Ovis aries: one gene and its partners. The protein of the gene in region 3 purifies or fractionates together with the protein of the main gene of each other region. This does not show direct contact. Links are inferred from orthologs where the notes say so. Each region holds a gene or a part of one and is shown on either strand. Other genes may lie near its edges.

What was found.
Region 1: the proteins of ARMC8 (region 3) and RANBP10 purify together in Homo sapiens (affinity purification with mass spectrometry; 5 studies listed by BioGRID and IntAct, with this or other methods). This does not show direct contact. The link is inferred for Ovis aries from reciprocal best matches to the Homo sapiens genes ARMC8 and RANBP10.
Region 2: the proteins of ARMC8 (region 3) and TCEAL9 purify together in Homo sapiens (affinity purification with mass spectrometry; 3 studies listed by BioGRID and IntAct, with this or other methods). This does not show direct contact. The link is inferred for Ovis aries from reciprocal best matches to the Homo sapiens genes ARMC8 and TCEAL9.
Region 4: the proteins of ARMC8 (region 3) and HTRA2 purify together in Homo sapiens (affinity purification with mass spectrometry; 5 studies listed by BioGRID and IntAct, with this or other methods). This does not show direct contact. The link is inferred for Ovis aries from reciprocal best matches to the Homo sapiens genes ARMC8 and HTRA2.
Region 5: the proteins of ARMC8 (region 3) and UBE2H purify together in Homo sapiens (affinity purification with mass spectrometry; 3 studies listed by BioGRID and IntAct, with this or other methods). This does not show direct contact. The link is inferred for Ovis aries from reciprocal best matches to the Homo sapiens genes ARMC8 and UBE2H.
Region 6: the proteins of ARMC8 (region 3) and MKLN1 purify together in Homo sapiens (affinity purification with mass spectrometry; 4 studies listed by BioGRID and IntAct, with this or other methods). This does not show direct contact. The link is inferred for Ovis aries from reciprocal best matches to the Homo sapiens genes ARMC8 and MKLN1.
Region 7: the proteins of ARMC8 (region 3) and ZMYND19 purify together in Homo sapiens (affinity purification with mass spectrometry; 4 studies listed by BioGRID and IntAct, with this or other methods). This does not show direct contact. The link is inferred for Ovis aries from reciprocal best matches to the Homo sapiens genes ARMC8 and ZMYND19.

What each region holds. Positions count from the first base shown.
Region 1 is NC_056067.1:34,829,279-34,832,509, forward strand, and holds part of RANBP10 (ran-binding protein 10), read right to left. Parts: intron 3,167-3,231; coding exon 2,962-3,166; intron 2,241-2,961; coding exon 2,119-2,240; intron 1,630-2,118; coding exon 1,484-1,629; intron 1,235-1,483; coding exon 1,123-1,234; intron 713-1,122; coding exon 582-712; 3' UTR 1-581. UniProt on the Homo sapiens protein: May act as an adapter protein to couple membrane receptors to intracellular signaling pathways.
Region 2 is NC_056080.1:128,953,242-128,956,744, forward strand, and holds TCEAL9 (transcription elongation factor A protein-like 9), read right to left. Parts: upstream 2,108-3,503; 5' UTR 2,003-2,107; intron 1,213-2,002; 5' UTR 1,144-1,212; coding exon 847-1,143; 3' UTR 501-846; downstream 1-500. UniProt on the Homo sapiens protein: May be involved in transcriptional regulation.
Region 3 is NC_056054.1:251,574,232-251,578,184, reverse strand, and holds the start of ARMC8 (armadillo repeat-containing protein 8), read left to right. Parts: upstream 1-1,153; 5' UTR 1,154-1,408; coding exon 1,409-1,453; intron 1,454-3,953. UniProt on the Homo sapiens protein: Component of the CTLH E3 ubiquitin-protein ligase complex that selectively accepts ubiquitin from UBE2H and mediates ubiquitination and subsequent proteasomal degradation of the transcription factor HBP1.
Region 4 is NC_056056.1:96,382,737-96,386,765, reverse strand, and holds the start of HTRA2 (serine protease HTRA2, mitochondrial), read right to left. Parts: upstream 2,801-4,029; 5' UTR 2,705-2,800; coding exon 2,199-2,704; intron 2,086-2,198; coding exon 1,881-2,085; intron 1,792-1,880; coding exon 1,597-1,791; intron 1,358-1,596; coding exon 1,325-1,357; intron 1,101-1,324; coding exon 995-1,100; intron 860-994; coding exon 790-859; intron 184-789; coding exon 88-183; intron 1-87. Other genes in the region: lipid droplet-regulating VLDL assembly factor AUP1, read left to right, coding at 3,077-3,126, 3,207-3,344, 3,424-3,574, 3,774-3,958.
Region 5 is NC_056057.1:95,429,595-95,433,520, forward strand, and holds the start of UBE2H (ubiquitin-conjugating enzyme E2 H), read right to left. Parts: upstream 2,801-3,926; 5' UTR 2,363-2,800; coding exon 2,310-2,362; exon of another isoform or gene 1-2,309. UniProt on the Homo sapiens protein: Accepts ubiquitin from the E1 complex and catalyzes its covalent attachment to other proteins. E2 ubiquitin conjugating enzyme that transfers ubiquitin to MAEA, a core component of the CTLH E3 ubiquitin-protein ligase complex.
Region 6 is NC_056057.1:96,864,284-96,867,783, reverse strand, and holds part of MKLN1 (muskelin), read right to left. Parts: intron 3,484-3,500; coding exon 3,344-3,483; intron 1-3,343. UniProt on the Homo sapiens protein: Component of the CTLH E3 ubiquitin-protein ligase complex that selectively accepts ubiquitin from UBE2H and mediates ubiquitination and subsequent proteasomal degradation of the transcription factor HBP1.
Region 7 is NC_056056.1:402,476-405,975, reverse strand, and holds part of ZMYND19 (zinc finger MYND domain-containing protein 19), read right to left. Parts: coding exon 3,377-3,500; intron 1-3,376. UniProt on the Homo sapiens protein: May be involved as a regulatory molecule in GPR24/MCH-R1 signaling.

The DNA of each region.
Region 1 (3,231 bases), on a different chromosome or scaffold from region 3:
ACAGAGATGATTCTTTTTTGATGAGTTGTACTCAAATAAAAACATGGTGTCTGGACAGCCTCACCCAAGAGGTGCTGGACCACTAACACTACGATAAATACTGTCTTTTTTTAATATATATATTTATATATATAATCTCATTTTTTTTACTTATGAAAATAATAAGCTATCACCAACGTGGATAGGCTTCATCACTAAATTAGCAGAAACCAGCTCAGCACAAACTCTCCAGAGATAAATACTGGTGGCTCAGTCAGGAGGAGAGGAAAAAAGAAAAAGATTAAAAAACCCCAACCTCTCCTCAAAACAACCCCCCTCTTTCAAAATAGAAGGCGCTACATGAACAGTAACCAGCCAATTCTGTGTCATAGGCCGCTGCACGTGAAGGAGGGAGAGAGAGAGAGACTGAAGGTGGGAGAAAAAGAAAGGAAGGAAGGGAGGAAAGGAACAGAAGAGGCCAGGCAGGAGGAGTGGGCTCTGCCCGTGGCTTCTGGGTCCCTGCACCAGGTGCCGATGGAGAGCAGGGCTGCTCCAGCCCTGGGGCCGAGGGAGGGCCAGGCGGGGCCAGCCAGTGTGGTCAGCTAGTGCAAGTAGTCGTCGACTCTGGCAAAAGAGCAAGATCCCAGGCCCGCTCGGGCCATGAGCCGTAGACATTCAGATGCCTGGCCCAGGGCGAGCATCAGCGGGGGCTGTTTTGGCAGGTTCTGAGACTCTGTGGAGAAAAGACAAGACCTGGTCACTGCCCTGATCAGGGCTGAGCCCAGATCCAAGTTCCTTTGGGAGCAGAAGGTTGGGGAGAGTGGACAGAATCTCTCGGAAGAGAGAGTTCATATGCCTCCATGTGTGTCCAAACCACCAGGCTATGGCCCTGTGGACCTTAGCTTTCTTTGGAGCAATGAGCTGGCCTGGGCCCACGTCATAGTCTAGGGCCTACTGTGATCTAGCTGGCCGACTCAGTTGGGCAGAGGGAGGTCAGGGTTCTGTCACAGGAGCCCAAGAGTCCTGCGGGCCACCAGAGGGCCTCTAGGCAGACTTCCCTGCCCTGATCTGGACAAACAAGGGAGGGGTGACGGGCCACCCCAGGCACTCCTGGGACAGCTTATTTTCGTTAGAGCCACTTACCTAAAATGGCGCTGTTGAGGGCGGCACACACAGGCTCCCTCTGGATGGGGTCAAGCTGCTGGCCAACTGGGCAGCTCCAGGGGTCTGAGTAGGCAAGCAGGCTAAAGGCATCCTAAGGAACAGGGTACTTCTGAGAGGACTGTGGTACGCACCAACACGCCCCATGGCTTCAGGGGGATACGGGGCCCTGCATGGTGTCAGGGAGGGCACAAAGTACCCCGATGTCCCACTTCCCACCACGGTCTTGTCTAGAGCTCACTCTCTCCTACTGCTGCTGCCCCCAGTGCCCTCCCAGAGTCACCACACGCCCCTACTACCAAACAGGGGCCCACTCTGTACAAAAGCCTGGTTTGCTCCATACCTGCAGCATCTCCGTGTGGGCCAAATTCTTGCCATACTCCCGGCCCAGCTGCTCACTCAGTGCCTGCAACTCGCGGCCGAACAGGATAATTCTTTCCGTGGCTGCCTGATTGCCCCCGCAGAGCTGCCGCCGCGGATGCCCATCATCTGCACCCAGAGCCCAGCAGGGGGCACATTGGGAGGGCACAAAGAAACAAGGGAGGACTAGGGTGGGGACCCCGAAGAGAACATGGCAAGAAGGACCTAGGTTGGGGATGGGGGTGAGTGCCCTTCTGGTGGAGGCAAGCGAGGGCTAAGAGGCGCAGGGGGGCCACACCAAGCTGAGCCGTTCTTAAGTCTACCCAGCATAGGGTCTAGGGGTCAGGCAGGACTTGGAAGCTTTCCTCTCCCACCCTGTGCAAGATGTAAGGGGTTCATAAGGGTACCTGCTCTCACCAACCCCCTCCAGCCACTAATGAAGGAACCCAGCCTGGGCAGCAGGCCAAGGTCTTCCCATCGCAAACACCCATTTGTGATGGCTACAGAGGCAGTGGATCAGCCTGCCCAGCCCCACCCTTACCCCCACCGAGGGAAGAGGGCACCGGGACTGAGCACGGCCATCTGCGGAACAGTGGGCAGGTGAGGGCACAGCCTTACCCATGCTGGACTCATCCGTCTGCAGGTCCTCATGCTTGTAGGCACCATTGACGATGCGTGTGGACATGCTCTCCAGCACACCGTTGGGGTAATGCTCCGCCTCCATCTCCATCTCACTGTCGCTGTGGAGAAGGGTGGAGATGGGAGCTGGCTAAGGGAATGTGGTTGGAGCAGCCTCGGTGGGCCTCCACCGAGGCTTCAGCCACAGGCTGCTGTGGATAAACTGAGGTCCCCAAAGGGCATGAAAGGATAGCTCCCAGGTTCCCAGGCTCCAACACTTGGACCCTACTGTGACGCCAGCCATCCCCAAAGGCTTGTCACCTCATTCCCACTCCAGTTCCGACGCTGTCTCTGTGACTCTCGCCCCCCCAGCCCTCCTCTGAGTTGGCACACTCCTTCTATGCACCTCTAGACCCCCAATGACCAGTCACGACAGGCATGTCTGGGAGCCAAACCTGGGTCAGCCTTGAAGCATGCTGGGGCGCTGAGAGCCACCTACAGTCTGCAGTCTACAACCTCTACCGGCCCAAACTGTCTGGCTGAGAACTGAGCCCAGAAAAAACTCCTTTGGTATAGTCCCTGGGGCCTTCTGAGAGGCCTGGTATCCTTGGAGGCAACCACATTCTCAGTGCCAGCAGCTCTGGAGAAAGATGGGGCCAAGGGAAGCAGCAGCTGAATCACGAGCTAGATGGGAAGCTGGAGCCAAAGTCTGGCCTGGCAGGTCCACAACTACTATTCCAGGCACAGAGCTGGTGGGGAAGTTGGGGATACAGGGCAGGGGCTGCTCACAGGACAGGCTGTAGTGGGCACAGAGTGAGAGAAGAAGCTGAGCAGAACAGGTACCTGGTCTCCTGGTTACTGGTACTGCTGTGGGGCTGGGACTTGGTGGAATCTGTAGAGTTGGACTCAGAGTAATTCACTGAGGAGGGAGATGAGGAGGATGATGAGGATGATGAGGACGAGGAGGAGCTGGGTGCAGGGTATTTACTGTGGTTCGGTTTGCTCTTGGTGGAGGCGACGCCGTTGCTGCAGCTGGGACTGTCTGCTCCTAAAAGCCGGGGGACGGTCAGAAGAGGAGGGCCAGCCTGCTGCCCAGTGGGGGCCCGGGAGTAA
Region 2 (3,503 bases), on a different chromosome or scaffold from region 3:
AATATCAAGGGGAGGGGCATAGAAGGTTGGGCAGGCACAGGAGGAGAGAAAAACAAAGGTGGTACCCACCTAACAGCTGTCTGGATTTTTTCTTAAGCACAGGTGAGAATTAACCTTCTCTCTCCAAAATACCTAAAACAAATCTCTTAAGGATCTGGCATCCTACATGGGCATATGGAAATAAAAGCCTATCAAATATAGCTCACAGTCAGTACCTTATTTGGTCCTCATGAGATCCCAGAAAGATCGTTATTATCTCTATACTACAAATGAGAAAAGATATAAAATTTATTTTTCTAGCTAAAAGGTCTGTTGGTAATTTGGAGTTCATATTTACTTCTAAAATTCTGCTAATATTTTGTGTCTCAATGCCTTTAGAAATATAATAACTACTGTTGGTTACTCCTTTTTTGTTATAAAACTTTTATTATTTTTAACAATAAAGTGTGTACATTCTAGGAATAAGGAAAAATACAAATAAGCTGAATAAAAAAAATCACTCATAATCCTTCCACTGACTATATTTTTTGTCTTTCATCCTTCACATATTCTTCTGTGTATATATGGAATATACAAATGCGCCCTCCCCTTTCAAAAATATGATATTCACATATTACTTAGTAACATTTTTACATTTTACATCCTGTTAGGAATCTCTTTTTGTACAAATGAGTAAAGCTCTCCTATTAAAAGGCAAAGACTTGTAGATTGGTTTGAAATAAACAATGAGATGCATCTTAAACCACTAACAGCAACAAGTTAAAAGCAGAAAGATGGACAGAGATATACAGGACAACAAAAAAGAAAGTAATGTCAACAATCAGAAAAAACAGAAATCGAGGTAAACTACATTAAATAGGGGTAAGGATGGTTGCGATTAACCTTCCAACGCATCACTATAAGTTTGTTTCTGACTCTCCTTATCGCATCAATTTCATTCACATTTCTAAACATATCTTCCTTGCTTAAATGCCCGTTGTGTATATCTTCTTTAAATTCCTGGAGAGACTGAATCAGTCTTTCTCTAAAAGTTCCTTCGGTTTTTTGCTCCTCCTCTTGCTTTTCCTCAGGCTTTGGTACTTCTTCAAGTTTTGGTTCATTCTCATTTTCTGGTTTTTCTTCAGTTTTTTGACAGGGTTTCATCTTGTGTCTCCCTTTCTTTCCCTCTTCCTTTCTTTTCTTCTGCTTATTTTTCTTTGAAAACAGCTACTTCTAGGAAGCAAGAAGGATACGTCAGCCATCAGGGTTTCCCCTGAGCCTGCCATTCTCACCTCCATTTTCCACCTCCTCACCTCCCTCGTCCCTCCCTCCAGCCGTTTCCAAGGTTCTTCTCAACCATTTCTCTCACACAAGGCAGAACGCAAGACCCTCCCAGAAGACAAGGAAGCTGCGGGAAGAGGGGTGCGGGGGAAGAGCATAGGGGCCCACGACCTCAGTCCCTCCTTTGCCCACCTCCACCCCAGGGGCGTTTATAACATTTCCCTCATCTTCCTGTATGGATCTGGTCACTTTTCTTCCTGGCCTTTTCAGGATAGCAGACCTCAGACCCACGGGAAGCGGGAGGGGGAGGGGGTAAGAGTGGGGGTGGGGCGAGCACTCGGCGGACTTTTCCTGTTAAGGTTCCCGGTTATGGAAACTTTCCCACCTTCTGTTTCCCTCATTTCCCTCCCTCTCCATAGTGCAAGTTAACTCGAATTTTCCATCAGACAGGGAGTCGGAAAAGCAAATTTCCAAACTATCATTAACACGGGGGGTTGGGGGTGGGGGGAGGGGAGGTGTTGGGAAAGCGGCCTTAGGTGGCAGAGGATGATTATTTTTAAACTATCACAGGTCTCCTTGTCCTTCTTCCGGGACCCCTAGTCCCTTTCCCAAGGGTCATCATTTCCTGCAGACCTGGAGGTGGGAGGTGGAGAGCTGGACTTTTCCAAGGCTCCCTTAAATCTCTGCTTCTAGGCCATCCCCACCCTAGTAATTCCCAGGCAGCATCTATTTTGCCACCAACCTGAAAATTTTCAGCCAGTAGACTCCTTCTCCTTCCCCACCGTTGGCCCCACCGGCTACCGCTGCTGAAGGAAGCTGGTACCCAGACGGGAACAAGGACCAGACTAGCAGGACTTCTGCACACGTCGACTCCTGGTCACATGAGGTCTACGTCACCAGTGAGCTCTGGTCCTCAATTTCCACTCCCACCAAAAGCGCGGCAGATGTGGGCCAGTCCTCTGCTCCCTCCCCGCTTGGACATTTGCCCTGTCCATCTTTTTTGCCTATCCCAGAGGGGGAAAATATTTGCCTTTCTCTGATTACTAGGGAGGGGCTGCATTTTTTTCCTGGAGCTACTAAACTTTTCTACTTTCTTCAAGAATTCTTTTTTCTTGCCTTCTGCTCCCAGGATTAAGAACACTAACTTACATCCATTGCCCCTGCCCCAGCTTCCGTTTCATCTGCAGTCTGGTCCTTGGCTGTTGTGGAATAGGCTTGGTTTGGCAGCGGGTTGTTTCTTAAAAAAAAAAAAAAAAAAAAAGAGCTGAGTGGGGGAGGCCTGGGACAGAAGTATTATTTTTAATGTAGTTCTAAACTTTACTGTTAATACTTTTCTGTTGGGGTATAGCTCCAATCATTCCTTTTATTATGCTAATAGCTCCCTTGCCGGACTTGCCAGCCTATAGAAACCTTCCATTTTATACAACCCCTGACAGCACCCTGATAGCTGCTAGATGGGTTGCTGCCCTATTCATGAATTGTTGTATAAAGCCAATTAGTTCCTCACATTTATTCAGCTGAATTTTGTTTTTTTCAGTTACTTTTTTAAAAATATAGAAAAGTATTAAGTAAAGTGAAAAACTACATTTAAAATATTGCTAAAATGTTTTGGTGTTAAAAAGTAAAGATAAAGTTTTAAATAAATAAAAGGATTATTTTTAGACAAGAATAATTTTGGGGGGGAGGGGAGAGGAAGAGACGGGCTTCCCAGGTGGCCCAGTGGTCAAGAATCTGCCTGTTATATATATGGAATCTAGAAAAATGGTACTGAAGAATTTATTTATAGGGCAGCAATGGAGAAGCAGACATAGAGAAGAGACTTATGGACATGGGAAGAGGGGAGGAGAGGGTGAGATGTATGGAAGAAGTAACATGGAAACTTACATTACCATATGTAAAATAGATAGCCAATGTGAATTTGTAGTATGGTTCAGGAAACTCAAATGGGCTCTGTATCAACTAAAGAGATGGGATGGGGAGGGAGATGGGAGGGAGCTTCAAGAGGGAGGGGACATATGCATACCTTAGGCTGATTCGTGTTGAGGTTTGACAGAAAATAACAAAATTCTGTAAAGCAATTATCCTTCAATACAAAAAAAAAAAAAAAAGAATCTGCCTGCCAATGCAGGAGATGCAAGAGAGCTGGGTTCGATCCCTCAGTTGGAAATGGCAACCCACTCTAGTATTCTTGCCTGGAAAAATCCCATGGACAGAGGACCCTGGCAGGCTACAGTCCATGGATT
Region 3 (3,953 bases):
AAGCTACGCTAGAGCTACCACCTCCATCGGAAGGCTATTAGCCTAGTCCAGGGGAGAGGTAATATCAGCCTGCATTAGGGAGTGTCTTCAGCAATGGCATCAGTTCAGTTCAGTTCAGTCGCTCAGTCGTGTCCGACTCTTTGCGACCCCATGAATCGCAGCACGCCAGGCCTCCCTGTCCATCACCATCTCCCGGAGTTCACATCCATCGAGTCGGTGATGCCATCCAGCCAGGTCATCCTCTGTCGTCCCCTTTTCCTCCTGCCCCTAATCCCTCCCAGCATCAGAGTCTTTTCCAGTGAGTCAACTCTTCGCATGAGGTGGCCAATGGCATGAGGACGAGTAATATATAATAGGTTCATTGCAATCATCCTATGAAAACCTCGCTGGTTGCGAACAGCATGAAGTTGAAACCTGTTCAGCCAAATCCAGAGCAGCTTTGTTCACATATATACACAACCACACAAATGGAATGAGAGAGCTGAACTCGTCAGTCAGAAATTAGAATTAGAAGCATATTTTTATTTAGCTTCAACGATCAGAGCAGTAGTGTGAATTAATCAGATTCTTGCCCCCATTTTTTTTTTTTTTCTACTTGACTCAGCGGCTCGAGAAACGCTAACACATATACAGCGCTTTCTATGTCTCAGGCATGTTATAAGAGCTTTACATTTTCCATTCTTCTAACCCTTTATTTGACACAGGAGGAAACTGAAGCATAGGAGATGCCCAGGTAATGCAGCTCTGTGAAACAGCAAGGATTAAACTCAGGCGTTCTGGCTCTAGAGTATCTATTCTTTACACTAGAATAAAAGAGTCGGATAATGCTGAAACAGCATCGGATCGTGACACACTCTTACTGGTGGCAAAACACTTGGCTCTGGGATCACAGTTTCTCCTTCTGTAAGACGGAGATAATAACGACGCTAGGAGTTTGGTGCAAAGGAGTGAGATAATGAATGCGAAAGCGAACTTCAAATTATGTAGGTGGGTCCACACACCAGTCTTTTGGAATAGTAAGAACGGGAACTCAAGAAATTGTAACGAATCAGTCTAAGAAGCTTGCAGCGAGACTCCGCCCCTGACGCTCCTCCCTCCGCGAGCCGCAGGTGGGGCCGGCAGATCTTCTTTGCGCATGCGGGAACTGCTGCCCGCTCCCACCTCTAACCCAGGCTGAGAGTAGCTGCCGTTTCTGAGAGGACGATTCGTAAGGAGGCCCCTGGCGCGGTTTCCCATTGCTCGTCCCTCTGCGGGCTTTGGCCATAGTTCAGCGGTGTCTAGAGGGTGGTCTGTTCTCGTCTACCTGCCTGACTTTCTGGAGAGGTACCTGTGGTTGGCCCAGTAGTCGGCTGTCGAAAGTGCCGGCCCCCGCGCCGGCGCCGGCTGCAGCCGGGTGGGAAGGCTCAAGATGGCGTGCCTGTTGGAGACCCCAATCCGCATGAGCGTCCTCTCGGTGAGTGACCCGCCGCAGCCGCTCGCTTGCCCGCGCGGGAGCTCGGGCCCAGCCCGCTCCATTCACCACCAACGCCGTCTGCCTTCTTGGGCACCACCCCTTGGGGTGGCCTCTGGCTCAGCTCTGGGCCGGGGAGTGAGAGAGGGTGGGCGGGCGGGATAGACTGGATCCCAGCCGAGCCCGAGACGTCTCCAACTGCCGGAGCGCTCACCGGTGCCGGTTCTCAGGACGGCGTCCGGCGGGCGGGCTGGTTGGGCGTACGGGCAGCTGGCCCAGCGGCGCGGCTTGGGCTTTGCCAGTTTCACCGAGCCCTCCTCTTAGCGATGCCGGTTCCCCGGGGCCGAGCACTCTGCTCCGTGAAGCGCCGGGCTTGCCGCTGAGCTGGGGATGAGTGCCCACTTAGCCACCCCTCCCCCCGGCCGCTGTGGCAAAAAGAGATAGAGGGTCCTTGGCCCCCACAGACTTGGGGCTACCACGCCAGATCTGTGTGGCTTCTATCGCTTCCCAGCACCCGGTCACGGGCTGGAGCTGCTTGCTTCTTGGCAACGGGTATTTCATATCAGTTGCAACGTCTCCTAGTGTGTGTAGTTATTTAAGCTCCCTTTCTCCGCTCTGCTGTGGAGGTCTCAGCCCTGTGAGTCTGAAGGAACCTGTGCTTGGCATTCCTCTTTCCTTCAAGGGGAGTCAAACGTTAAAAAAAAAAAAAAAAAAAAGGAATGTATTGACATGCCAGAAAGCAAACCTAGTTTGCTTGTTGAAGTTTAAAAATAAAACCAGAACGCGACTTTCACCGTTTACTGTGTTGCTCTTGAGAGAACCAGGACCAGGGGTGAAAGTTACTAAAAGGTACCTTAGAAGGGTTTTGCAACAAATGAAAGCTGTGCAACTGAGAAAAGTCAGTTTACCAGAGGCCCATTTGTTGTAGTTGGAAACCAGCCGGCAAAGACTGGTTGACCATCTTTTAGACTTGTCGTGGAAGTCAGTCCGATGTTGAGAGGGTGGCTGGATTGTAGGTGACTTGTCAGGTTCGGTGAGTCTGTGGCTTCAACTGGTTTCTTTTCTCTTCGGTGACTTCTCCCACAAACACACTCACCTATCTTAGCAGTTAGCACATTTGCAACAATTCGCGTTTAGAGCATTGTTGCAGTTGCAGAATTGTGGTATATTCCACCTTGATAATTTTTTTGGAGGGAGGGGAGCTGTACAGAAATCTTTTCTCTGATCCATTTTAGTAATCCTTTTTTTAAATTTTTAAACTGTGACTGGGGAAATAATGTTCACCTAAGCATTGAATTTAGATTCAGTTACCACACCTCTGACTGACACCTAGGAACATTTTATGGGAGAACAGGCCAATGACTTTTCCATCATTATGCTGTTGTTTTTAAGTCACTTTTCTCAATTCCCTTTAATTATTCTCGTTTATCCTTAACTTCGCTTGAAGCGTCTTTATTTTTGTACATCGTCAACTCGTATAGGGTACAGTTGATTTTTTTGTTTGTTTGTTTTCACTCCCTTAGTAATATTTCCTATTAAACTTTGTGCAAAAACTTCTTGAAGAGTGTTCTGTACTTCTAGTGGGGATTTGCTTTAGCCCCAGTCTCATTGGGCCTTTCTTCCCCTCCACCTCCAACCACCTGTTTTGTTTTGTTTTTTTTAAGGTTTTCAGAGTCTCAGGGTCTGGTCTTTCAGTTCATCAGTTCTGGAGCCTTGGGAAATCAGAGCTTTGGATAAATGATTTAAACTGTCAAACCTTATTGATTATAATAATTTCAACTGAAGCCTGGATCTTTCAAAGTTCTACCCAGGACACCACTTTTTGAAATACAAAATGCAGATGGAACAGGAATTAATAATCAAAAATTATCTTGAAAATAATTGACCCCTTTAATAGGCTACTTATTTTGTACCAGCTGTGTACAACACTCTTTAACGTATGCTTTAGGGAATGCATGATTGAGCTCAGCATACCCTCAGGGAACTCACTGGTCTGAATGACTCCATAGCTTGAAAAACATAATTCACACCAGGGGCAGATCAAATGGTTTAGAGAATTTCCATTCAAGGCCCTTTATATCTTCTCTCTGGTGGCTCAGATGGTAAAGAAATCTACCTGCAATGCGTGAGACCCGGGTTCAATCCCTGGGTTGGAAAGATCCCCTGGAGGAGGGAATGGCAACCCACTCCAATATTCTTGCCTGGAGAATTCCATAGACAGAGGAGCCTGGGGTCACAAAGAGTCAGACATAACTGAGCGACTAACCACAACCTCTCTGAGAGATTTCATACATTCTAAAACGTTAACTGTAGTCGAGTCACACATCTGCATGGTAAGCCTTGACTGTTCTCCATCTGGTCTCATGTCTTCAGTTGTGTGGGTGTTAGCCATCACTTCCAACAAAGCACATTCCTTCTTCTAAGAGAACTTGGTCCTGACTTCCCTTTTCTGTTAATGGTACTGTCTTTCATGGATCACCCACCATTAAACCACTTGAATCAT
Region 4 (4,029 bases), on a different chromosome or scaffold from region 3:
AGAGAGATAAAGGAAGAACTAGATGGCCCACTTCAAGGGCGCATACACCCCACCCATCTCCACCTCCTAACGCAGCCTCTCCCTCACCGGTGAGCAGGGGAGTCCAGGATGACCTTATGGATGAGCACACCATGCTGAACATCAGGGAAGCTTGGTTCTCGAAGCTGTAGTTCAGCAAGGATGCTGAAAGGACACAGATCACTCTGTTGGTCACAGGGCACTCTCCCCATTCGGGGTTTGCCTCACATCTTTCATCAGCACACCGACAAGCGTGTGAACAGGACGTGCACTAGATCCTCTTGATACAAAAACAATTCACTTTTTGCCTTCTAGCAGTTAGGAAGCAGAATGTGTATATAAAAGGTAACATTCCAAATGACACACAGGGTTAAATCAATAGCACTAATGTCATTCTAGAATCCTAAAAGCAGCTATAACTTAGGAAGTGCTATAACTTTAGCTTAACCTAGAAGAATCAATCTGATATTAAACTATATAAAACAAGAACAACATAAAAACACGGGATTAGGAAATCAAGTTGGCTGGAACAGAAAATACTCATAGGGAAGCCACATCTGGAAGGTTGGGTATTTATTGTAAATCTAAGCAATAACAGGATGGAAGGTATGCAAAATAGAGTGAGGTGAGAAAAATCAAGATAATGAGAGAGGAATGAGGCAACTCATCTTAGATAAAAACAGAACTAAGAACGAAGCTCAACAGAACTGCCAGGTACCCACCACTGGTTACACTGATGGCCCTACGTGTCACTACCCCTAAAGCTCATACCTGGGAGTCAAGGTCAGCATCATCACCCCAATGTAGCGGCGCTGGGACCCACTGACTCCAAACCAGGAATCTGTGTTAGAAGGACAAATGAGCCCCACCCAGGTATATCCTTACTTCCCCTCCTCCTCCCAATTGACCCCTCTTCCAGCAAACCCTCCCCACCCCTGCCACTAAAGAAACCCGTTTCCCCAAAAGCCAGGCTTACTCTTCTTTTCTCCACGATGCAGAAACTCTCGAAGGCGATCAGAAGGGATGGCAAAGGAGATTCCAGATGTGACCTTCATGGTATTCACCCCAATCACCTCCCCATCCTGTTGGGACACAGCCCACTATTCTCTAGCCCAGACAAATAATAGGAGATGGGGGTACCTGAGCAAGAGTGGGAGGGAGTTTTGGGGGAGATCTAGTTGGATTCTGGGAGACAGCCAACAAGAAACTGCTCAGAAACTTGACCAAACACCAGTGAATTAGGGGAAACCCACCTCTTCCCATACTGACCTGAGATAGGGATTCTTGGAAAGGATGTCACACTCACCAGGTTAACCAGGGGACCTCCAGAGTTTCCAAACTGCAGGACAAGGAGAAAATATGGCAGAGATCCAGGGACTCTATGCCTCGGGGCACAATCAGGATGTAGACACTTTCTCCAAATCCTCTCCTTTCCCAGCCCGTGAAGGAGTGGCCACATTTTTTGCAACCCAATCCCAGTATATAGGCTCATCCACCATCTATCACAACTGGTGCCTGTACCACACACCCCTCCCCTCTCTCCCAACCTAGTCTCATTTTTCTTATATCAGGACGCACATCAATAGCTGCATCAGTCTGGATATACTCCACATTGGTTTGGGGAAGGCCCAGATCTTTGGCTGGACGCTGAACAGAGCTGACAATGCCGGAGGTGATTGTGTTCTGCAGTGCAAACGGGCTTCCCATAGCAACAACAAACTCCCCTTGCCGGACATCAGCTGAGCGTCCCAGGCGCAGCGTAGGGAGAGGCTCCTAAGGGAGAATGGGTACAAGAGACCTGGCATCTGGAGATGTGAACAAATTCACAGTCCCAAGCAGACATGGCCTGCCCCGACCCCCACCTTGGTCTGAATCCTCAGCGTGGCGATGTCTGCCACGGGATCCACAGCTGTGACCACGGCCTCATACGTGTCGCCGCTAGGCAGCCTTACACGGACTCGGCGCCGATCAGCCACCACATGGGCATTGGTAACGATGAGTCCATCGGCAGCCACCACGAATCCTGAGCCATTCGAGATAGGGACTTCGCGGCCCGAAAAAGGGTGCCTGGAAAAAGGGGGGCGGGGGGACAGTACAGATGTGAGGAGGCTCAGACCCATCCTTCTCGCCCGCCCTCTAGCCCGCGGCTTCGGTGCCTTAGTGTTTACCCCCACCATTACCGGCCCAAGATCTCGATATAAACCACGGCAGGGGCCGTCTTCTCCACCACGTCCGCGATGAAGTTGTACTGGCTCCGGGGAGAGGTGGGCGGCGAGCCAAGGACCGAGGCGAACACAGCCGGGGGACCCCGCCCTCCGCCCCAAAACAACAACAGCACCGCCCCTCCAGCGCCCAGCGCCACCGCTAGCCACACGCGCGGACGGGTTCCGGGAGTTCCGGAGCCTTCCGGAGTCCGGGGATCTGGGGTCCCAGCGATCAGCCGTGCTCGGAGATCCGAAGTCCAGGACCTCAGGCATGTCCGTGGTTCAGGGACCCCCACAGACAACCGGGCCCTGAAACTGGGGGTCCCATAAGTCACTCGGGTCCGAGGGTCAGGAGTTCCTGACGTCAGCAGGGCCCGGAGGTCAGGGGTCAACAGGGGTCCCTTTCCCCAGAGACCCCCACCCAAAGCCCGCCATCCCGGGAGGCTCCAGCCAGCACCCCGCCCCGCCCTCAGTGCAGCCATCAGCTCCGCCTCGGCGGCTTCCTCGCCCGCCCAGCGCAGAGGCGGCGCCCTAGACGCGACCAGGAGGGCAGCTGGACGCTGAGGACGCCGGTACCTGAAGTCTCCAGAAGTGCACGCTGGGACCCAGGATTCCGGGAGGCCAACTCCGCCCCCGCCCCGCGAATGCCGGGAATTGTGGTCCCCGCGGGACGCGAGTTATGAGGTGGCCCACGGGTCCGCGAGGCATGATGGGACCGCTAGCCCTTCCGGGGCGCCTCAGAATTTCAGGTCCCGGCACCCTGGGCGGATGCCCGAAGACTCCGCCTTCCCAAGAGCCCCTGCGGCGGGGCGCAAAGATGGCGGCAGCGGCCAGACAATCCTAAAGCAGCGGCAATGGAGCCTCCGTCGTCGCCGGGGCCGGAGCGGCTCTTTGATTCGCACCGGTAAGAACCCCGGCGGGAAGAGACCGACTTCCGCGTCCACTTGGCCTTCGGCGCCCAATCACCCCGCCTCTCGCCCCCAGGCTCCCGGGTGACGGCTTCCTGCTCCTCGCGCTACTACTCTACGCTCCAGTCGGGTTCTGCCTCCTCGTCCTGCGCCTGTTTCTTGGGATCCACGTCTTCCTGGTCAGCTGCGCGCTACCAGACAGTGTCTTTCGCAGGTTCCGACCCGGGCGCTCGGGGAGGGCTGGGGCTGGGCCTGGCCCAAGGCCAGGTAGTCACCACTGCCTGCGTTCGCAGGTTCGTGGTACGGACCATGTGTGCAGTGCTGGGGCTCGTGGCCCGGCAGGAGGACTCTGGACTGCGGGATCACCGTGTCAGGGTCCTCATTTCCAACCACGTGACACCTTTCGACCACAACATAGTCAACCTGCTCACCAGCTGTAGCACCGTGAGTTAGGGAGGAAGCCGAGAGTGCCACGGAGTGGCTCCCTGGGGCCCAGCTCAAGGCACCCCTCTCCGTGTTCGGGTTTCCCATGGGGACCACAAGATACTGACCCTTACCCCGACCTTGCTTTTCTACCCATATGTCAATTTTTCTCACTTCACAGCATTCTTTTCTTCTTGCTTTCTCTCCTTCCGGTGCCCAGCCTCTACTCAATAGTCCCCCAAGCTTTGTGTGCTGGTCTCGGGGCTTTATGGAGATGGATGGTCAAGGCGAGTTGGTGGAGTCACTCAAGAGATTCTGTGCTTCAACAAGGCTTCCCCCTACCCCTCTGCTACTATTTCCCGAGGAAGAGGCCACCAATGGCCGGGAGGGGCTCCTGCGCTTCAGGTAGGTGAGCACAGGTATCTGTCTCCAACTGGAGGTGATCAGGCTTGGGGGCCCTGGGGTTTTCACAGCCC
Region 5 (3,926 bases), on a different chromosome or scaffold from region 3:
ATCTCAGACATGTACAATTTTAAAGCGCCTCTGCTTTCTTTTGTCAGAAAGGAGGAAGGTGGGGAAAGAACAGAAGGCCAATGCATCTTTGCCTTTCTTCATCTTCTACTAAAAATAAGCTATGAAATAAGCCACTTAGGGGAAGAAAAAAAAAGAAAGACACCCTGCTGTTCTTTGTCTGTTTTCTTCCCCCTCTCCACCCCCCACACCCCACTCCTAAATACGGTGATCATTCTAGATGCCACAACTACTAAATGAACAAAAGGCACTGTATGGAAAAGGCATCAGGTCAAGTAAGGCCTCACCCTCTTTATCCTCAGCCTTCTAAAAAAATATATGTAAGTATATAATTTGAGAATCTGACATTGATCAAAGACAGCTGGAATTCTCTCTCACCCCCATCCCAATTAAACATTAGGTAGAAATTTGCATTAGGTGTGACAGTAAGTCTCAATTCAAGATAAAAATAACTCAAGATTCTGCCACCATGTCATTTCCTAGTTTCTAAACAAAAATAAAACCCGAAACTGCTTTGTGTAAAATGTACACACAGCCATAGTTACAAGTTTTCCTGCCACCTTATGAAAAGCCAACATTACTGGTATTATTCACACATTTACAAAACTCAATCACAGCCACAAACAGCTCATAAAGAGTCAATTTCACTTGTGCCTAAACATATATTTGGTACATAATATATACTTTATTACTTGCTCCTCTAATTCCCACTCCCACCTCCCCCAAATTCTAAACTTCTAACCCTAAACTGAGACGTTCATGTACTGTTCCTAATTTCTAATCAAGTTTTCCTGAGTGAAGAGAAAAACATCTTATTCCTGAAAAGATTATGGGGTGGGGGGGGGCAGAGAAGAATCACTTGCCCAGGCAACTTCCCTTCCATCCCCCACTTCTAAACCAAATGAAAAAAACTACTTTTTTAAAACTTCAGCGAATTCTTTAAGTGAGTGTTCAACAATAACCATTGATCTCTACAAACTGGTAAAACATCCAATCAAAAACAGTAACAATAAAAGGAAGAAAGAAGGAATTCACCTGAAGAATCTAGCCAAACAACTTGAGTTATATAAACAAAACCCAGCAACAGGGGGAAATGGTGGGGGGATGGGGGTGAAGGAGAAACAGAAGCAGGAGACAGGACTTTTTAAACTGCGTTTCACACACTACCACTCTCCAGCCCCGGGTTCCCCCTCTCCCCAGGGATTCAGTCTTTCAGAACCCTGGGCTCCTCTCTCTCATCTCTCTCTAAATTACCCCTCAAAAAATGTCTCGATTTGTCACAGGAACCTTCGCGAATTTCTCTAGCTGGTCATGAAATAATCGGTCTGGACTCCAACCAAAACCACTGCCTGAAGGACTCTTATCAGTTAGAGCTTTCCCACTGCTACCTCCAAAGTACATAAAGTTGGGGTGGGGGGAGTAGGAAAATAAAGGGTGTCACTTGGCAAGAACAGGGCAGTTATTATGAGCACCTTATTCTCATACAGGGAGTTTGCTTAACTGGCTAGTGCAGGGGCTATTTGGTCAAGGAGATCCCCTTTTTCTCCTTCCCCCTCAGCTGTCATAGCCACAATATGGAGGGTGGCTTGCTGGAGGGCCTGGGGGTCCTCACCACATACTATGGGTGGGATAGGCTTTGTCGGTAGGAAGAAAAGAGTGAGGTTCTTCTAAGGACCAGAAAGCTTAATAGGGGTAGCTGATCTAAAATATTCAGAGCTCTTTAATACAAGAGGGGGGCACTGAGCAGACTACTCTCTTCCTAATATAGAAAGGAATTAGGGATAAAGGAGGTCACTTGAGTTACCCCAGTTCAAGAAGCACTGTGAGAGGAGGGAATGGAGGCATCTCAAGAAAAGGAGAAAGGCTTCGCTCTAGGGAATTTCTATCTCGAATCCCCAAATTCAGAGCGAGCAAACAGGAAAAAGAAGGTGGGCTTGGTGGTGAAGAGAGAGGGCTGGTACTGCAAAAAAAAAAAAAAAAAAGGCCCATTTGGGAGTCCAAATGTCGTGGAGAAAAGTCACGGGGGCTGAAGGTGCGGAAAGAGCGTGAACAACGCACATTTCGGGGTGCTGCAGATAAAGGGGGAGCTGAGAAGGATCTCGGCTCCTGGGAGGTGCCAAAGAGCCTCCGTAGGCACTGGGAGGAGGGAGGGGTGGGAGGAAGCCTTGGACAGTGGGCTGGAGTGCCCCTGGGCCCCTGATTAGGTTTCAGGGGGTGCCCCGGGCATCCCCATATCGTCCCCCACGTAGAACCCGAATTCCCCACCCCCCGCCCCGCTCCACGAAGGATACAGCTTGACCACGTCCGTGTCCATCCGCCTCTTGCCCGGACTAGGGGATGACATGGTGTCGCCGCTGCCTCCCCGTCGCCTGCGCCGCCGCCGCCTCTCGCCCTTCCTCAGCCCGCCTGTCACGGGCCCCGGGCCCCGGCTCTGAGGAGCCCGCGGCCGCGCCGGCTCCTCGATGGAGGTGGCAACACCCCCGCGGTCCTGTTTGGTCCCGTCAGCCGCCGCCGCCGCCGCCGCCCCCCGCACGGGGGGGAACACCGGGCACTGTCCGGCCGAGTGGGGGTGGGGACCCCGCGGCGCACGGCTCGGGCTGCCCCTCTCCGGCTGTGGGTTCCGCCGCGGCCCGGACCTGGCGCTCCTCTGCGCCGCGCGTCGCTCCCTCCTGCCTGCTCTAGCTCTCTCGCCTGCTCGCCCGCTCACCCTCTCGCCGGCTCCCAAGCTGCCTCCACGACAAGCGGACGACTCCTGCTCAATCGGCCTCTCTACCCCAGCCTCGCTCTGGGCGCCGTGACGTCACCTCTGTGACGTCATTGGAGGGGCGGGCCCAGCTGGCGAAAGGGGTGGGGTGCCGCGGCGGCGGCGTGAGTTTAGCAGGGGATTCTGGGAGTTGTAGTTCCTCTTTTTCCTGCCCGTCCAGCTTTCTGCCCCCCCTCCCCCAACTCCCTCACACTTAATCGCTCAACTGTCAGCGTCGTTGTCATCATCAAAAACGATAATGATTAAATAATGGCAGTATCATCATATTCATGTGTTTTAGGGTAATGAACCTCCTTCCCACATACACTGTTTAAAAGTCTGTTTATTTGATTTAAGGAAGCCAAGGTGGAAATTAACCCAGACAGTTACCAAAATCTAGAAATTCCTAAACCAGCAGGTCCCCTGCCCTCTGCTCCCACCTTGAAAGGAGAGAATAGCCAGGCTTCTTCAAGCTTGCAAATCAGGGTTTGCTATCCTTCATATGTATAGGGTCATTTTTTCAAGGATTAGAATTGAGACAGCATGATGGCAATTTAGTTGTAACATCTTTACACAGTTATGTGGTGATTTCACAAAGTGAATGACTGAAAGAAGCAGAAGTACCCCAAATATGCTGCTGTTTAGGACAAAGTTTGTTCTGCCTTCCAAACGTCTAGAGCAGGCCTATAACTTCATCATTCATTCAGTAAGCATTTATTGATCACCCATTGTGTGGTAATCACTGCTGGACATGAGGATATCATGGTGAACTAAGAAAGACTTTAAATTTACACAGCCCTCCCAATGTGGTCTAGATCTAGACTGTCAGCATCACCTGGGAACTTGTTAGAAATGCAGGCTAGAGCTTCACCTCAGACCTACTGAATTAGAATTTGCAGTTTAACAAGGTCCCCCGGTGATTCCTTTGTGCACTAAAGTTTGAGAGACACTGCTCTACAAGGCACTCCAAAAGAAGTGATGTGGAATCCAGGAGTCAACCAGGCAAAGAGGGCAGGAAGGAGTGTTCCAGGCAGCTCCTGTATTTATATCACATTTTTTTTCACTGCCATCTATTTTCAAAATTTTTATCTATTCCTTTGTCCCCATGAATACACTTGTAGTCTGTCAAACCACGTGCTGTGAGTTGGGTCCCCTTATGTAACCT
Region 6 (3,500 bases), on a different chromosome or scaffold from region 3:
CCGATCCAGGGATCGAACCCAGGCCTCCTGGATTGCAGGTTGATTCCTGACCATCTGAGCCACCAGAGAAGCCACAGAGGAGCACACAGACTTACATGATAACATTAACCACACTGTTATTTCTGTTATTTATAACTGCAAGTAAGTTAGAAATAATCTAAATATTCTACAAAAGGAGACTAGTTATGTAAATTACACAGAGTAGAACACTATGTAGCCATTATATTTACTAATGTAAGGAATAAGACGTTTATAATACATCACTTATTAAAAGAAATCAGATTCAAAGCAAGATGATTCCTCTTTTTTAGTTAAAGCAACAAAAATTTCTTTGTGCACCTACAGTTCATGGGATACATAACCAAAATATTACTTCTGAATGGTGGGATGAGGGATGATTCAACTGCAGTGGAGAGAGAGGACTTTTTTATCCTTTTTTAACCATGTATTACTTTTCTAATTAAAGGCCAGAGGGGAAGTATTTACAAGTAAATTCCAATTCTTTTCTTATAGTACTAAACAGCTCTTTTAAATCTCTAGTGGGCTTTTGGTCAGGAAATTTTTTTCAAAAACCAAACTCAACATTCTAACTATAGTTGTTGTATCTGATGTAGGGAAGGAAAAAAACAAAAAACCGACTATGATTTTCCCAAACCTGTCTTATCCCTTTAAAAACAAAGTTTAACATTAAGTAAAATACAAAGGAACAAAATTTTAGCAATGCAAAATAACATTAGCTGAAGGAAAGTTATGACCAACCTATCCATATTGAAAAGCAGAGACATTACTTTGCCAACAAAGGTCCGTCTAGTCAAGGCTATGGTTTTTCCAGTGGTCATGTATAGATGTGAGAGTTGGACTGTGAAGAAAGCTGAGCGCCAAAGAATTGATACTTTTGAACTGTGGTGTTGGAGAAGACTCTTTGAGAGTCCCTTGGACTGCAAAGTGATCCAACCAGTCCATTCTAAAGGAGATCAGTCCTGGGTGTTTTTTGGAAGGACTGATGCTAAAGCTGAAACTCTAATACTTCGGCCACCTCATGCAAAGAGCTGACTCTTTGGAAAAGACCCTGATGCTGGGAGGGATTGAGGGCAGGAGGAGAAGGGGATGACAAGAGGATGAGATGGCTGGATGGCATCACCAACTCGATGGATGGGAGTCTGAGTAAACTCTGGCACTTGGTGATGGACAGGGAGGCCTGGCGTGCTGCAATTCATGCAGTAGTAAAGAGTCGGACACAACTGAGTGACTGAACTGGAACTAGACTGGAAGGTACTTTAAGCTTAAATGTTGCTAATAAGACAGAATGTTGCTATCCATCCAATGTGATAGTTCAGCCCCTTTCTCCTACAGATTCTATAGGAAATACTTAATTCATAGTAATGACAAAGCAACAGAAGCACCTCATATCTCTCATCAATTTGTTTCTTAAGCACAACTTGTGAAAGCAGAGTAAGAAATAACAGGTAAACATGATATGATAAAGAAATAAAAATCTATTTTATACCTACACAGAGGTTTTAATTTTATTCTATATATTAATAAAATATAATACATAATTATATAATAAACATATAAATACACATAAGTATGCATGTCTGTGTATATACATATGTGTATGAAGTGGAAGCGGCGGTGGTGGTGAAGTGGTAAAAACTCTGGAGTCAGAATACTCAGGATCAAATCCTGCTGTCACAGCTGAATGACCTTAGATGAGTTACACAATCCACTTAAAAATGGCTCCATTTCCTCTTTTACAAAAAGAGTAACTGTAACAGTAACTTCTCCACTGACTTATTGTGCAAATAACATGCAGGCTTTAGCATACAAAAATTATTCATCAGTTCAGTTCAGTTCAGTCACTCAGTCGTGTCTGACTCTTTACGACCCCATGAATCACAGCACGAAGGCCTCCCTGTCCATCACCAACTCCCAGAGTTCACTCAGACTCCATCCATCACTCAGTCCATCGAGTCAGTGATGCCATCCAGCCATCTCATCCTCTGTCGTCCCCTTCTCCTCCTGCCCCCAATCCCTCCCAGCATCAGAGTCTTTTCCAATGAGTCAACTCTTTGCATGAGGTGGCCAAAGTATTAGAGTTTCAGCTTCAGCATCATTTCCTCCAAAGAAATCCCAGGGCTGATCTCCTTTAGAATGGACTGGTTGGATCTCCTTGCAGTCCAAGGGACTCTCAAAGAGTCTTCGCTAACACCACAGTTCAAAAGTATCAATTCTTTGGCGCTCAGCTTTCTTCACAGTCCAACTCTCACATCCATACATGACCACAGGAAAAACCATAGCCTTGACTAGACAGACCTTTGTTGGCAAAGTAATGTCTCTGCTTTTCAATATGCTATCTAGGTTGGTCATAACTTTCCTTCCAAGGAGTAAGCGTCTTTTAATTTCATGGCTGCAATCACCATCTGCAGTGATTTTGGAGCCCCCAAAAAATGAAGTCTGACACTGTTTCCCCATCTATTTCCCATGAAGTGATGGGACCAGATGCCATGATCTTCATTTTCTGAATGTTGAGCTTTAAGCCAAGTTTTTCACTCTCCTCTTTCACTTTCATCAAGAGGCTTTTAGTTCCTCTTCACTTTCTGCCATAAAGGTGGTGTCATCTGCATATCTGAGGTTATTGATATTTCTCCCGGCAATCTATGGTACCTATTATCATCATTAAAAGCTGTCTCTCCCCCCAAACTGTAAATTTTAATTACAATCTAACACTATTAGCAACCAAGGGAACAGATGTATTTTTCTACATTTTTCAGTAGCTTATCATTTGCTAAGGCTAAAAAACAAACAAGACTGAGGAGATATATATGAAAATGTTTGATTACATGATTTTGAAATTATATTGCAAAAGTAATGATGCAAAACTATAATATTTTAAATTGTATTCTGAAACATCAAAGTATAAAGAGAGTATTTAGTCAACTATATCATCATATTTACTGTTAAGAGAATCAACAATAGGTCAGTCAAATGCCAATAATTCTAGAAATGATATTATTTGTAGTGGGTTAGGCCTTGAGTTACTTGAAGGTAAGTTCATCATGTTCATAGAAACTTTTTCCATTATTTTGACAGCTGCAATATATCCTTGCTTATCTTTAATAACTTTTAGCATTAAGATCTATCTTCACTTTGTACCTTTCTTTAAAAAAGAAAGAAAAAAATAAGGAGAGTAACAGGGCATTTACAAAAGTCACGATCTTCACAATATTTACACTGTCGTGTCACTAAATTTCCAAAGATAAAGTCACATCTCCAAAGCTTAGGTAATATCAACAATAGCTGATTATGCTAAATGAAAGTTTTTAGTGAATTATTTTTATACCTGTGTTTTCTTATGAGGTACTTGCAATGCCGCAGTAAGTAATCTTTTGAAGGCCTACACAATTTCAGTGACCAGAAGTCATCTAATCTCATCTTTGGGGAGCATGATTTTCCTGGATTCCCACCAAATAAATAATGAACCTATAATAAATAAAGCA
Region 7 (3,500 bases), on a different chromosome or scaffold from region 3:
GTTTGGGTTATTTTATTTTTTTGCTGTGCCATGCAACCTGTGGATAGGAATAGGCGAATGGAATTCCGATGACCATTGTATCTACTACTGTGCGCAAGAATCCCTTAGAAGAAATGGAGTAGCCCTCACAGTCAACGAAAGAGTCCGAAACGCAGTACTTGGGTACAATCTCAGAAACAACAGAATGATCTGTTCGTTTCCAAGGCAAACCACTTAGCATCACAGTAATCCGAGTCTATGCCCCAACCAGTAATGATGAAGAAACCTGAATTTGAACAGTTCTAGGAAGACCTACAAGACCTTCTAGAACTAACAGCAAAGAAAAGCTCCTTTTTATCATAGTGGATCAGAGTACTAGAGTGGAAAGTCAAGAGATTCCTGGAGTAACAGGCAAGCTTGGCCTTGGAGTACAGAATGAAGCCCGGCAAAGGGCAACAGAGTTTTGCCAAGAGGACGCACTGGTCACAGCAAACACCCTCTTCCAACAGCACAAGAGGCTGACCCACACATGGACGCCACCAGACGGTCAGCACTGAAAGCAGACTGACTGTAGTCTTTGCAGCCAAAGATGGAGAAGCTCTATGCAGACAGCAAAACCAAGATGGGGAGCTGACTGTGGCTCAGATCATGAGCTCCTTATTGCCAAGTTCATACTTAAATTGTAGAAAGTGGGGAAAACCACTAGACCATTCGGGTATGGCCTAAATCAAATCCCTTATGATAGTACAGTGGAAGTGAGGAACAGAGTCAAGGAGTTAGATCTGATAGACCGAGAGCCTGCAGACCCATGGACGGAGGTCTGCCACGCTGCGCAGGAGGCAGTCACCAAAACCATCCCCAAGAAAGAGAAATGCAGCAAGGCGACGTGGTCGTCTGAGGAGGGCTTACGGAGAGCTGAGGAAGGAAGAGGAGTGAGAGGCAGAGGAGGAAAGGTACACCCAGCTGAATGCAGGGCTCCCGAGAAAAGGAGAGACAAGAAAGCCTTCTTAGGGGAACAATGCAAAGACACAGGAAACCAACACGACGGCAGGGGCTGCAGAGCTGGGCAAGGGAACTGGAGACGCCGCGGGAACAGCCGTGTGAGGGGGCTCGATAAGGGGCGGGAACGCCAAGGGCCCAACAGAAGCATAAGAGGCCAAGAAGAGGCGGCAAGAATACGCAGAAGAACTATACGAAAAAGGTCTTCACAACCCAGATAATCACAATGGTGTGATCACTCACCTAGAGCCAAACATCCTGGAGTGTGAAGTTACTGGGCCTTAGGAAGCATCACCACAAACAAAGTTAGTGGAAGTGATAGAATTCCAGCTGGACTATTCCAAGTCCTAAGAGATGATGCTGTGAAAGTGCTGCACTCAATATGCCAGCAGAGTTTGAAAATTCAACAGCGGCCACAGGACTGGAGAAGGTCAGTTTTCATTCCAATCCCAAAGAAAGGCAATGCCAAAGAATGCTCAAACTACCATACAATTGCACTCATCTCACATGCTGGCAAGGTAATGCTCAAAACCCTTCAAGTGAGGCGACAGTGCATGAACCAAGAATTTCCAGATGTTCAAGGTAGACTTAGAAAAGGCAGAGGAACCAGAGATTAAATTGCCAACATCTGCTGGATCATACAAAAAGCAAAGGAATTCCAAACCAACACCTTCTTCTGCTTCATTGACTAAAGCTAAAGCCTTTGACTGTGTGGATCGCAACAAACGTGAAAATTCTGAGAGAGATGGGAATACCAGACCACCTTCCCTGCCTCCTGAGAAATCTGTATGCAGGTCACGAAGCAACAGTTAGAACTGGACATGGAACAGACTGGTTCCAACTAGGAAAAGGAGTACGTCAAGACTGTATATTGTCACCCTGCTTATTTAACTTACATGCAGAGTACATCATGAGAAACGCTGGGCTGGAAGAAGCACAAGCTGGAATCAAGATTGCCAGGAGAAATAGCAATAACCTCAGATATGCAGATGACACCACCCTTACGGCAGAAAGTGAAGAACTAAAGAGCCTCTTGATGAAAGTGAAAGAGGAGAGTGAAAATTTTGGCCTAAAGCTCAACATTCAGAAGACGAAGATCATGGCATCCGGTTCCATCACTTCATGGCAAATAGAAGGGGAAGCAGTGGAAGCAGTGACAGGTTTTATTTTCTTGGGTTCTAAAACCACTGCCAACAGTGGCCGCAGCCACAAAAGTAAAAGACGCTGACTCCCTGGAAGAAAAGTTACGACCACCCTAGACAGCATATTCAAAAGCAGAGACGTTACTTTGCCAACAAAGGTCTGTAGTGAAAGTTACGGTTTTTCCAATAGTCATGTATGGATGTGAGAGCTGGACCATAAGGAAGGCTGAGCAATGAAGAATTGATGCTTTCGAACTGCGGTGCAGAAGAAGACTCTTGAGAGTCCCCTGGACTGCAAGGAGATCAACCAGTCCATTCTAAAGGAGATCAGTCCTGAATATTCCTTGAAAGGACTGATGCTGAAGCTGAAACTCCAGTGCTTTGGCCACCTGATGCAAAGAGCCAACTCATTGGAAAATACTCCAATGCTGGGAAAGATTGAAGGCAGGAGAAGGGGGCGACAGAGGATGAGATGGTTGGATGGCATCACCGACTCAATGGACGTGGGTTTGAACAAGCTCCGGGAGACAGTGGAGGACCGCGGAGCCTGGCGTGTGGGGTCCGTGGGCCGCAGAGTCGCACGGGACTCAGCGAGTAAACGACAGGAATGCAACCTGTGGGCTCTGAGCTCCCCAGCCCGGGTTCACACCCGGGTTCACAGCCGGGCCCGCCGCAGCGGAAGCGCCAAGTCCTAACCGCTGGGCCACCAGAGCATCCCCAACCTTCCTTTCTGCTGATGAAACCACCGTCCTATCCCCAGCAGAGCAGAAAAGTGCTCCGAAGCAAGCAACTCCTCAGTGCCGCGGGCCGCTGCCGAGCAGTCAGTGTGCAGCCCTGGTGGCCGCTCCTGAGACCTCCAGGCGGTTCTGTGGCTTGCCACATCTCAGCAGGGGAGCCAGCAAGGGTCCTATTTTTGCTTCAGCCAAACTGGGCTCAGTTTCTGTCACTTGCAACCGCAAGTGTAGACTACCACAATCCCCAGGAGGATGAGAACCCTAACTAACTGTCAGGAGGCTCTGCCTCCTTCAAGAGCCACGTGAGGACCCCTTAGTCAGGATCAGGCTCTAACACTGGAGTCTGGACCAAGGAGGGGCGCAGGCTGCCCAGCTGACCTCGGAGGCACTGTCCTGCCTGCACACCTGGAGGGAGATGACCAGCACTCCCAGACCCACAGAAGCCGCAGAGCCAGAGCCGAGCCAGCCTCCCTTGGCAGCGAGCCTGGCGGGGCCGCACTGCCAGGCCCCAGGACGACCTACCTCTGCTTGCTGGAGGCCTCCTCGGCTCTGGGCCGCCAGCCCCACGGCACCAACTGCAGGTTGTCCAGGCGATTGTCCACAGTGACGGCGTTGAGATGCACCACCTGAAACCCAGGGGCGATGC